2 linked regions of the Tribolium castaneum genome follow. The protein of the gene in region 1 purifies or fractionates together with the protein of each later gene. This does not show direct contact. Links are inferred from orthologs where the notes say so. Each region holds a gene or a part of one and is shown in the gene's direction. Other genes may lie near its edges.

What was found.
Region 2: the proteins of pre-rRNA 2'-O-ribose RNA methyltransferase FTSJ3 (region 1) and ribosome biogenesis regulatory protein homolog purify together in Homo sapiens (affinity purification with mass spectrometry; 3 studies listed by BioGRID and IntAct, counting the BioPlex papers as one, with this or other methods). This does not show direct contact. The link is inferred for Tribolium castaneum from reciprocal best matches to the Homo sapiens genes FTSJ3 and RRS1.

What each region holds. Positions count from the first base shown.
Region 1 is NC_087395.1:17,626,768-17,631,121, reverse strand, and holds the start of pre-rRNA 2'-O-ribose RNA methyltransferase FTSJ3, read left to right. Parts: upstream 1-1,379; 5' UTR 1,380-1,535; coding exon 1,536-1,602; intron 1,603-1,649; coding exon 1,650-2,407; intron 2,408-3,112; coding exon 3,113-3,361; intron 3,362-3,411; coding exon 3,412-4,354.
Region 2 is NC_087399.1:2,009,951-2,014,415, forward strand, and holds ribosome biogenesis regulatory protein homolog, read left to right. Parts: upstream 1-1,647; 5' UTR 1,648-1,873; coding exon 1,874-2,016; intron 2,017-2,062; coding exon 2,063-2,552; intron 2,553-3,565; coding exon 3,566-3,822; intron 3,823-3,876; coding exon 3,877-4,003; 3' UTR 4,004-4,018; downstream 4,019-4,465. Other genes in the region: tubulin monoglutamylase TTLL4, read left to right, coding at 1-506, 587-638, 1,134-1,240; uncharacterized protein LOC103314109, read right to left, coding at 4,041-4,205, 4,253-4,416. UniProt on the Homo sapiens protein: Involved in ribosomal large subunit assembly. May regulate the localization of the 5S RNP/5S ribonucleoprotein particle to the nucleolus.

The sequences.
Region 1 (4,354 bases):
TATCGGCGGGCGATTTGAATTGCCCGTAGTTACTTTTCTTTTAAAGTTTGATTGCATTTTTCGTATTGTTTGTAAATATTCACAACAATAGTTGCTAATAACACTTTCTGATGTTAGACAACTATTGTTGCTGAATATTTACAAAGAATACGAAAAATAAAATATGAGAATACATAAAGACAATAAACTTGTAATAAAAATTTATTATCACTAGTCAATATACACGATACGATAACTATAAACTAATGATTGATCCATCAAATTATTTATATTCCCACAATAAAAAAGTTCAAAAAAGCACACACACGAAAAAAACCACAAAACAGTACTAATTTCACATAAAACAAAGCCGAAGGCGAACACCAAACAAACCAAGCACAAAATGGCGATTTACACAATGGCAACTGTCACAGGTCCACTGTTAATTTCTGCCGATATTATAGGTAGCTTCGCTAAAATTGACTATACGTGTGTGCGACATCTGCGATAGCAAGCCGAACTACAGTCGATTTTGAATTTGGCGCCTATACTTGGCTTGGTGCATTTAGGTTTCACCACCCTGGGCATATTGGAATAGTGGTTTTTATGGAAATATGTTGCGCGTGGCTGGGGCTTCGCCCCAGTTAACTAAAAGGAAACAAACCCCACGACCAATTAAACTCGAAAACGTGGAACTCGAAACGTGGAATAGTGTTTATGTTTATGAACTGTACGCCACCCTAGCTCCATAAAAAAACACTATTCCACGTTTCGAGTTCCACGTTTTCGAGTTTAATTGGTCGTGGGGTTTGTTTCCTTTTAGTTAACTGGGGCGAAGCCCCAGCCACGCGCAACATATTTCCATAAAAACCACTATTCCAATATGCCCATCAATGCCGATTGTTAATGTAATTATTTTTGAAATACTCAGAAAACTCTTTAGACTTAACCAGCCCAGCTGAAATGGAAATCCGTTATGGTCTGTTCGTACTGTTCCGACCTCGCTCGCAACATTTCGACTGAGCGAACATTTGTAGACCGGCGGGGCCTAGCCGCTAGTTAAACTCGGACCATCGCGAACGCCTCCCATTGGCTGACGCACAAGGAGGGGTCACGTGACGCAAACATTTAGAGGCCGCTAATAAATGGAAATTTTGATAATGCAGTTCCAATTTCACAAAACTCTATTATGCACTAACAACCCATACTTTGCTTTTCTTATGTATAAAACAAAATTAAACAAATGGGTCAAAATGACACGCCATGCAGTGCAATTTGTATTGGTTGATAAAACTATTTTTCCCCTTTTATCAGCGAAACATTTAATAATAACAACTGGATAAAAATTTTGAAAAAATGCCAAAAAACCGCAAATTAAAACATGTGAGTTGGTAGCATTGCTTTTTGATAACGCAAAAAGGATAGTCATATGTGTGTTTCGTTTGCCCGACAAGGACAACAAATTCCGAATGACATTCTGTCAAAAGTCAAAAGCCATGTGTGTTTGCTGAAAACAAATTAGTTTTTTCGCTTTCCAGAATTAAAAAAGCGCCAACATGGGAAAGAAAACTAAAATTGGGAAACAGCGCAAGGATAAGTACTATCAATTGGCCAAAGAAACCGGTACGTTTTCCCAAAACTTGGCACCATAACCTCACTTTCGCCTTCAGGTTTTAGGTCTCGTGCAGCCTTCAAATTGATTCAACTCAACCGCAAGTTCGAGTTTTTGCAGAAGTCGCGAGTATGCATCGACCTGTGCGCCGCCCCCGGGGGCTGGATGCAGGTGGCCAAGCAGAACATGCCCGTTTCGAGCGTCATCATTGGGATTGACTTGTTCCCAATTAAGCCCATTCCTGGGTGCATTTCGCTGACTGAGGACATTACGACCGAGAAATGCCGCGTCTCGCTCAAGAAAGAGCTGCAGACGTGGAAAGCCGACGTTGTTTTGCACGATGGCGCCCCAAATGTGGGCAAGAATTGGCTGCATGATGCCTATCAGCAGGCATGCCTGACGTTGAGCTCTTTGAAACTGGCCAGTGAGTTTTTGAAGAAAGGGGGCTGGTTTATAACCAAAGTGTTTCGTTCGAAGGATTACCATTCGCTGATTTGGGTTTTGAAGCAGTTTTTTAAAAAAGTGCATGCCACCAAACCACAAGCTTCGCGTAATGAATCGGCGGAAATTTTCGTCGTTTGTCAACACTACATCGCACCTGATAAAATCGACTCCAAGTTTATGGACCCGAAATATGTTTTTGAGGAGTTGGAAATTGAGCCTAAAGAGAAATTGAATATTTACCATCCTGAGAAAAATAAGAAGAGTAAAGCTGAGGGGTACCCCGAGAATGATTGGACTTTGTATCATAAGATTAAAGCATCAGATTTTATTAAACACCCTACAGGGATCGAACTCCTAGAAGGGGCTTCTGAGGTAAAAACGCCCAAAAAAACTTCACTTTTAGTCCATAGATGTGATTAAACACTCGGGAAAAGTATAATTTGGTAAATTTGTGACTTTTTCTTAAAGAGATTTTGAGAAATAATTGCGCTTCTGCATTATTGAAATCTCGCAATAATAGTATATTATTATGCAAGTTTTATAAGACGTTTTATTGTAGCACGAATCGTTTTGGAGCACAACAAAGGAGTACTCCAATAGAATGAGTGTCACAATTAAGTCTTATAAAACGCACTCGTTTTATTACGTATATTACACTTAATATACTATTTTTTGTACTTTCTATTTTTGTTATTTGTTTTTGTTTAATTTAATTTATCAAAATCTGTTCAAACTATTTCCTCTTAATTTTGTTAATTATTCGGGCTTTACAGTGATGACTCACAGCCCAGCACTGCCAATACAACTCCTAAAAATTTACTAAATGGAGTTGCACAAAAGTTCTTTTTGTGAAACTACTTTAAAGCGCCCTCATTTTTTCTCTGCCGTACTGTTTCTTTGGGTTCAGAAAATCCTGCGATTTTGTACCCCATTTCATCCCCTAAGTTTAGTCCTCCGTATTCTTGGCTAATGAAAAATGCTAATTGTCGTTAATATTCGGGGAAGTACTCAATTTTGAAAACATAGGATCAACTAGAGGATCAACATAATTTGGTTGCTTTTATGATTTTTTTGTAGATCGTTTTTGACGTTGAAGAAATAACAAATCACGAAAAAACTACAAACGAAATTAAAGAATGTTGCAAGGATATTAAAGTTTTGGGAAGGAAAGATTTGAAGAAGCTCTTGGCTTGGAAGAAGGCATTGAGTGAAGAGTTTTCTGAGAAGAAAAATGAACCTGTTGAAGAAGAGGTTGAAGAAACTGTGGAGAAAAGTGACGACGAGGATGATTTGAAGGACGTCCACCAACAAATATTGGAACTTGAAGTAACACACTATTTAACAAAATTTGTGACTAATTAAAATATAATTTGTAGAGTGAAGAGCAGCGCGAATTGAAGCGAAAAAAGAAAAAAGCTCAAAAGGAGCGCAAAAAGCTGAACGAAAAATTAAACTTGAAGATGGTCTTGAAAGGTGATAGTGGCCCCACAATGGAAAGTGACGGCATGTTTGAACTAAAACAAGTAACAAGCACCAAACAGATGAAGAAAATTATTGATCAAACGCCTGATACTCTTGCTCAATCAGACAATGAAGAAGATGAAATCAAATCAAAATATTTGCGTTATAACAAGGACGAGCAACATTTGAGTAGTTCAGGATTGTATTATAAAGATTCAGATTCTGAGTTGGAAATGGAAAGCGAGTCTGAGGACGAAGATGGGAAAATTAAGGAAGGTCTAGATTTAAGCGATAGCGAAAATAGCGATGTGGAAGAACAGAAAACTAAATCGAAAACGAAACCAAAACATCCTCTCATAACGGACTTGGACCACAGAAGTAAGGAAGAGAAAAAAGTGCACAAAGCCGAAATGTGGTTTGAAAGAGACGCTTTTAAGAATCTAATAGACGAGAAAGACGAAGACGCTGATTTGGACCGACTGGTGAGTGAAATGAAGAAGAAAGGAGCCAAGATTATCGGAGAGGAAGAAGATGCGAAAAACACAGAGTCGGATAGTGACTACAGTTCGGATTCAGATGATTCCGAATACGAGGATTTTGAGAAACTTGCCCCTAAAAATAACGTAAAGAAGGACGGTTTTGAGATTGTCCCCGAGGGGCAAAAAGTAGGCAAGAAACGTAAACATAAATTAACTGAGAAAGAATTGGCGTTGGGTACGCTAATGATCAACAGCAAAAAAACAAAACGTGACATAATTGACGCCGCTTGGAATCGTTACGCTTTTAATGATGACAACTTGCCTGATTGGTTTGTCAAAGATGAGGAGAAACATATGAGGAAAGAAGCTGCGGTTCCCA
Region 2 (4,465 bases), on another chromosome or scaffold:
TGAACATTTCGCCCAGTTTGCATTCAGCCAGCCCGCTAGATGCACATGTTAAGGGCCCCCTTGTCCAAACCTTATTTGATCTCGCACAGTTCCATTTTCCGCCAAGGTTGTCTCAAACCGTCCGTCACAGCCCCCAATGTTTCGACCCCAAATTGTACACAACTTCGCTCACGAAAAAAGAGCGGGAAAAGCACACACTTTTCGAACAGTATGAGTCACGACACGACTACCTCGACGATATTTTGGCCGAATTGACTGGCGATGATGTGCGAAAGTTGACGCAAGCCGAAGACGAGTGGTGTGTTAAGGGGCGTTTCGAGAGGATTTTCCCCACCTCGCAGACGCACAAGTATTTGAATTTCATGGAAGTTCGGTATTATAATCGGCTGTTTGATGCGTGGGAGTGCCGATTTGAGAGGAACAGGCAGGAAGGGATTAACTTATTGAAGGCGTTATGCGCCGAAAAAGTGCACTTAAAAGTGGCGCCGCAGAGTACGCTACACAAGGTAATTTCATTGCGTTAGTTAAGTGTGGGGGTTGAGTTTTTGTTTCAATTTTTTTTGTTTGGGTGGTACTACCTACCAAGGCGAGACATTTCGTACTGGCAACACTGCAAAGCGTTTGTTCACAATGTCGCAGTAAGTCGGGACGTGGTGTTGTTTGTGTGTCTACACTAATGGCATATGAATTTTTTTCTATCGTCTAGTTCTAATTCCCGCAGGATTTTAGTCATAGCAGATAGACACGTAATAGATTAAAATTACTAATAGGTAGGACATAGGAGTACTAATTTCGTGTTAGGGGTTTCTAGTCACAGATGGCCAACTTAAAAAGCTCGGTTGAGTTAATTTCCGTCCAGATGGCGCGAATTTTAATTCTTGTGTCGAAACGTGTGCCCTTTTGAAAAAATTGGAGAACGGTGGACAGGTGTGGGAAAGTGGATATTTTTTTCTAAGGAGTCGGCCGTCTGTATGTCTGTGTAGTTGGGATTTTAGAAGAAACTGGGCATTTATTGAAAGCAATTAAACATTTATTACGTTTTATAAATAAATGCCCAGTTGGGCAAATAGTTGCACGACTTAGTTAGGGTCCCACAGTTGGTTGGGCCAATCTGACAGCTTGTAATTCCCCAGAATTCGCTGAGTACGAGCCATGGGTGTGCGAGTCTGCAGCCGTCGAGGGAAGGCCAGAGTCGGCCTCTTGCAGAAATCCTGCAAGAGGTCACAATCGAAAGCTCTAGCTGTAATTAACTGTATAAGTGAGTTGTTTGTTGCGGTTTTTCCCGTTCTAATCAAGTGGCGGTTTCAGATGGAATTCTAGAAGTGTGTTTCTTTTGTTACGAATGAGGACAAACACCAGCATTTAAACTGCCAAATTTGTACGTTGTTTTAATTCCTTGTTAAATTATTGTAGCGAGATATTCCATTTACATTTGCATTTACAGCAAAGTGTTTTTTAATTGATTTTTATTAGTGTATTGAGTCTGATGAATAAAATATTTCTTTTACATTAAATGTCTTCGTCTGGGTCCGGGACCGCGTTCCTCGGGATCTCAATCCTCTGGACTGTGACGTTGAGTTGCATCCTTATATCCAGCAAAAAGCACAGAAACAGGATAAAGAGGGGCACCTTGAGACGCAGGGTGTAGCCCAGCTTGAGCAGAAAAAGCAAAGGTTCGGCGAGTGGCATGACTCAGCACCACCACGATCACATTTTTACAAAGAAACGCCCAGATTTTGGCAAAATATTTTGAAATTGGTTGACATTTGTCAGCGACAGGTGTCAGTTCGCCAGCCGAATCTGGGGATTTTCGCTCCACGTGTAACCGTTTTGTCGCAAGTGAGGTTAGAATCCCCAGACAGGTTTTAACAACATGGATGTTGTTAAAACAATTTTGGAAAAATCGGCCAAAGAGGCCGAGAAATACAAATCAGTGGAAGTTAACAAGTTGGTGAGCATCGATTTAGGCGCCTTGCTGGCCGAAGACCTGAACCCGCTCGATCCCGGCGCGTTGAGGTGAGTTTTGGGGTCCGCTGAGCACGCTTTTCTGACCCAATTTTAGGAGCTCCACCAACGATTATTTACTGAATTTGACTCGGGATAACACCCAGTTGCTGTTTAACCAAATCTGGGAGTTGCCCACGGAGCGGATAGACGAAGCAATTGTCGCGAAGTTGCCCAAGCAGAAGTTTTGTTTACCGCGCTTCAAGCCCGTGCCGAGGCCCAGGCCGCTGACCAAGTGGGAGCAGTTCGCCAAAGCCAAGGGCATAGTCAAGAAAAAGAAGAGTAAGTTGTCTTGGGACGAGCAGCTGCAAAAGTGGATCCCGCTGTATGGTTTCAAACGGAGCGCCGCCCTCAAGGAGAAGGACTGGCTGATTGAAGTGCCACAAAATGCGGACCCTTTGGAAGACCAGTTCGCCAAGAAAGTCGAGGCTAAGAGCGAAAAAGTCGCCAAGAATGAACTGCAAAGGCTGCGCAACGTCGCCAAAGCGAAAAATGTGAAAGTGCCCAGGTTCGGGCTCACCAACCCTGAGGTTTCGTCCGCAAAAGACGTGAGTTTTTGTATTTTTATCGTGTGTACGGCCGGAAATTTAAGTGTTGCACCAAGTTGAAAAATACGTGAATTTGTGTTGTTTTATTAAACGTTTAAAGTAGTTGCTTCTTTTTTAATAATAATGATATAACAATAAGCCGTCTTTATTCGAACCGTAAATACAACTCGGGAGGCGAAATTGAACTTAATTCCCTTAAGAAACGAAGAAGTAAATGAATAAATGAATAAATTAAATTGACAAAAATTGCTCTAAAAAAATAATAGCAAATAAAGCAAGAAGAAAATAACAAAAAGCAAAAACAATTTTGGAAAAAACTATAGATCTAAACATGAGTGACAAATAATAAGGCCATAGTTAAAGTTGGAAAGCATCAAAAAAGATTGGCGGAGTTTTTGTCAAATTTTTTTCTGAACCTTAAAAAGGTAAAAAAAATAAAAATTCAAAAATTTAATTCTGGATTTCCGGAAAAGTAAAACTAAGCTAGCTTTTAAAATACTGTTATGAGCGATTTTTCACTTGTATAAAACCAAAAATTAAACTTTTATGGAAAAAAACAAACAAAAGAAACAACAAAAAAATAATAGAATAATATAATATTGGCATTAAAAAAATCAAGTTAGCCTTGTTTCCCCAGAACAAATGACGACAGAACTTTGATACACATCTGAGACGATAGAATTTACATAATTTCGAACATATACCAAATTTCATTAAGTTTTGATGAATAGTTTTTATAATATTTAAATGGATGCCTGCATATGATCTGAATAATTACATAATTTACGAATTCTGATATTTCTGAGCTGTATATTAAAAATAGAAATGGTCCCAAAATTGAGCCTTGTGGGAATTCCGGATGTAATGTTATCTGCCTTTGATTGTGAGCTGTCTATAGTAACAATTTAGTTTTTATTTGTTAAATACGAATAAAAAATTTGGAATTTTGTTAAAACCTTTAACATAAAAAGTATTAACTTTTTGTTTTCGAAATCAAAATGTTTGATTTTTAGTTGCAAGCGGCGGTAACAGTGGCTAAATCGTCAACCGCAAGTCTGGGAAAATTCCAAGACAAGCTCCCCAAGGAGAAGGAGGCGAGAGGCGTCGCTGCTATCACTCCCGGAGCGACGAGAAAACGAAAATTACCTCCAATTTCGGGTCAAAACGAGAAAAACCAAAACCTAAATCTCGTAGACGAGGTTTTGAACAAACGACCGAAGATAAATATTGAAAAAGCGGTAGCCCGACAAATAAACGACGAACAAGCGCAGTGAGTGTTTTACTCAGTCGGTGGTCCAAAAAATTCATATATTTTTTTTCCCAGGAGATCTGATGAGAAAAACCGAACTGGGCGCAAGAAAGGCCTGCGAAAGTCTGGAGGCGGCAAGAAGCCGAAAAACACGAACCGGCCCCGAAAGGGCAAAGCCGCCGGGGGCCGGAAGCGGCGCTAGTTTTGTTCCAATTGTATATTTTTACTTAGAGGTGAGTTTAAACATAGATTGTTTCTCCCTGTTTTTCCCATCCAAGACTCGGGTCTTTCGACACGGCCATGTAGACCAGAGTGCCCTCGCCTGGGAGGGGCTTAGCCGCCACGTAAGTCCGCTTATCGCTCGACCAGCGGCACATGAAATCGCGGCCTCGGCTCTCGTCAGCCTTAAATTACAAATCAGTTTTTTGTTTCAGTTAAGACGATTTGTTACTTTAGTGTCGAGTGGAGAAGGGCCGAGATAATCTTCACCTTGGACTGCCTTGTGGAGGACTTGGAGGAAGTACTTGAAGAAACTGTTTCGGTTTTTCTTCACTGTTGTATCGGTTGCTTTCAATTGACGCAACTTCAAAATCCATTTCTTACAAATTTCTTTGTCTGGAAGTGTGTATATAATCTAGAGTGACTTTTGTATATAACCAAACAC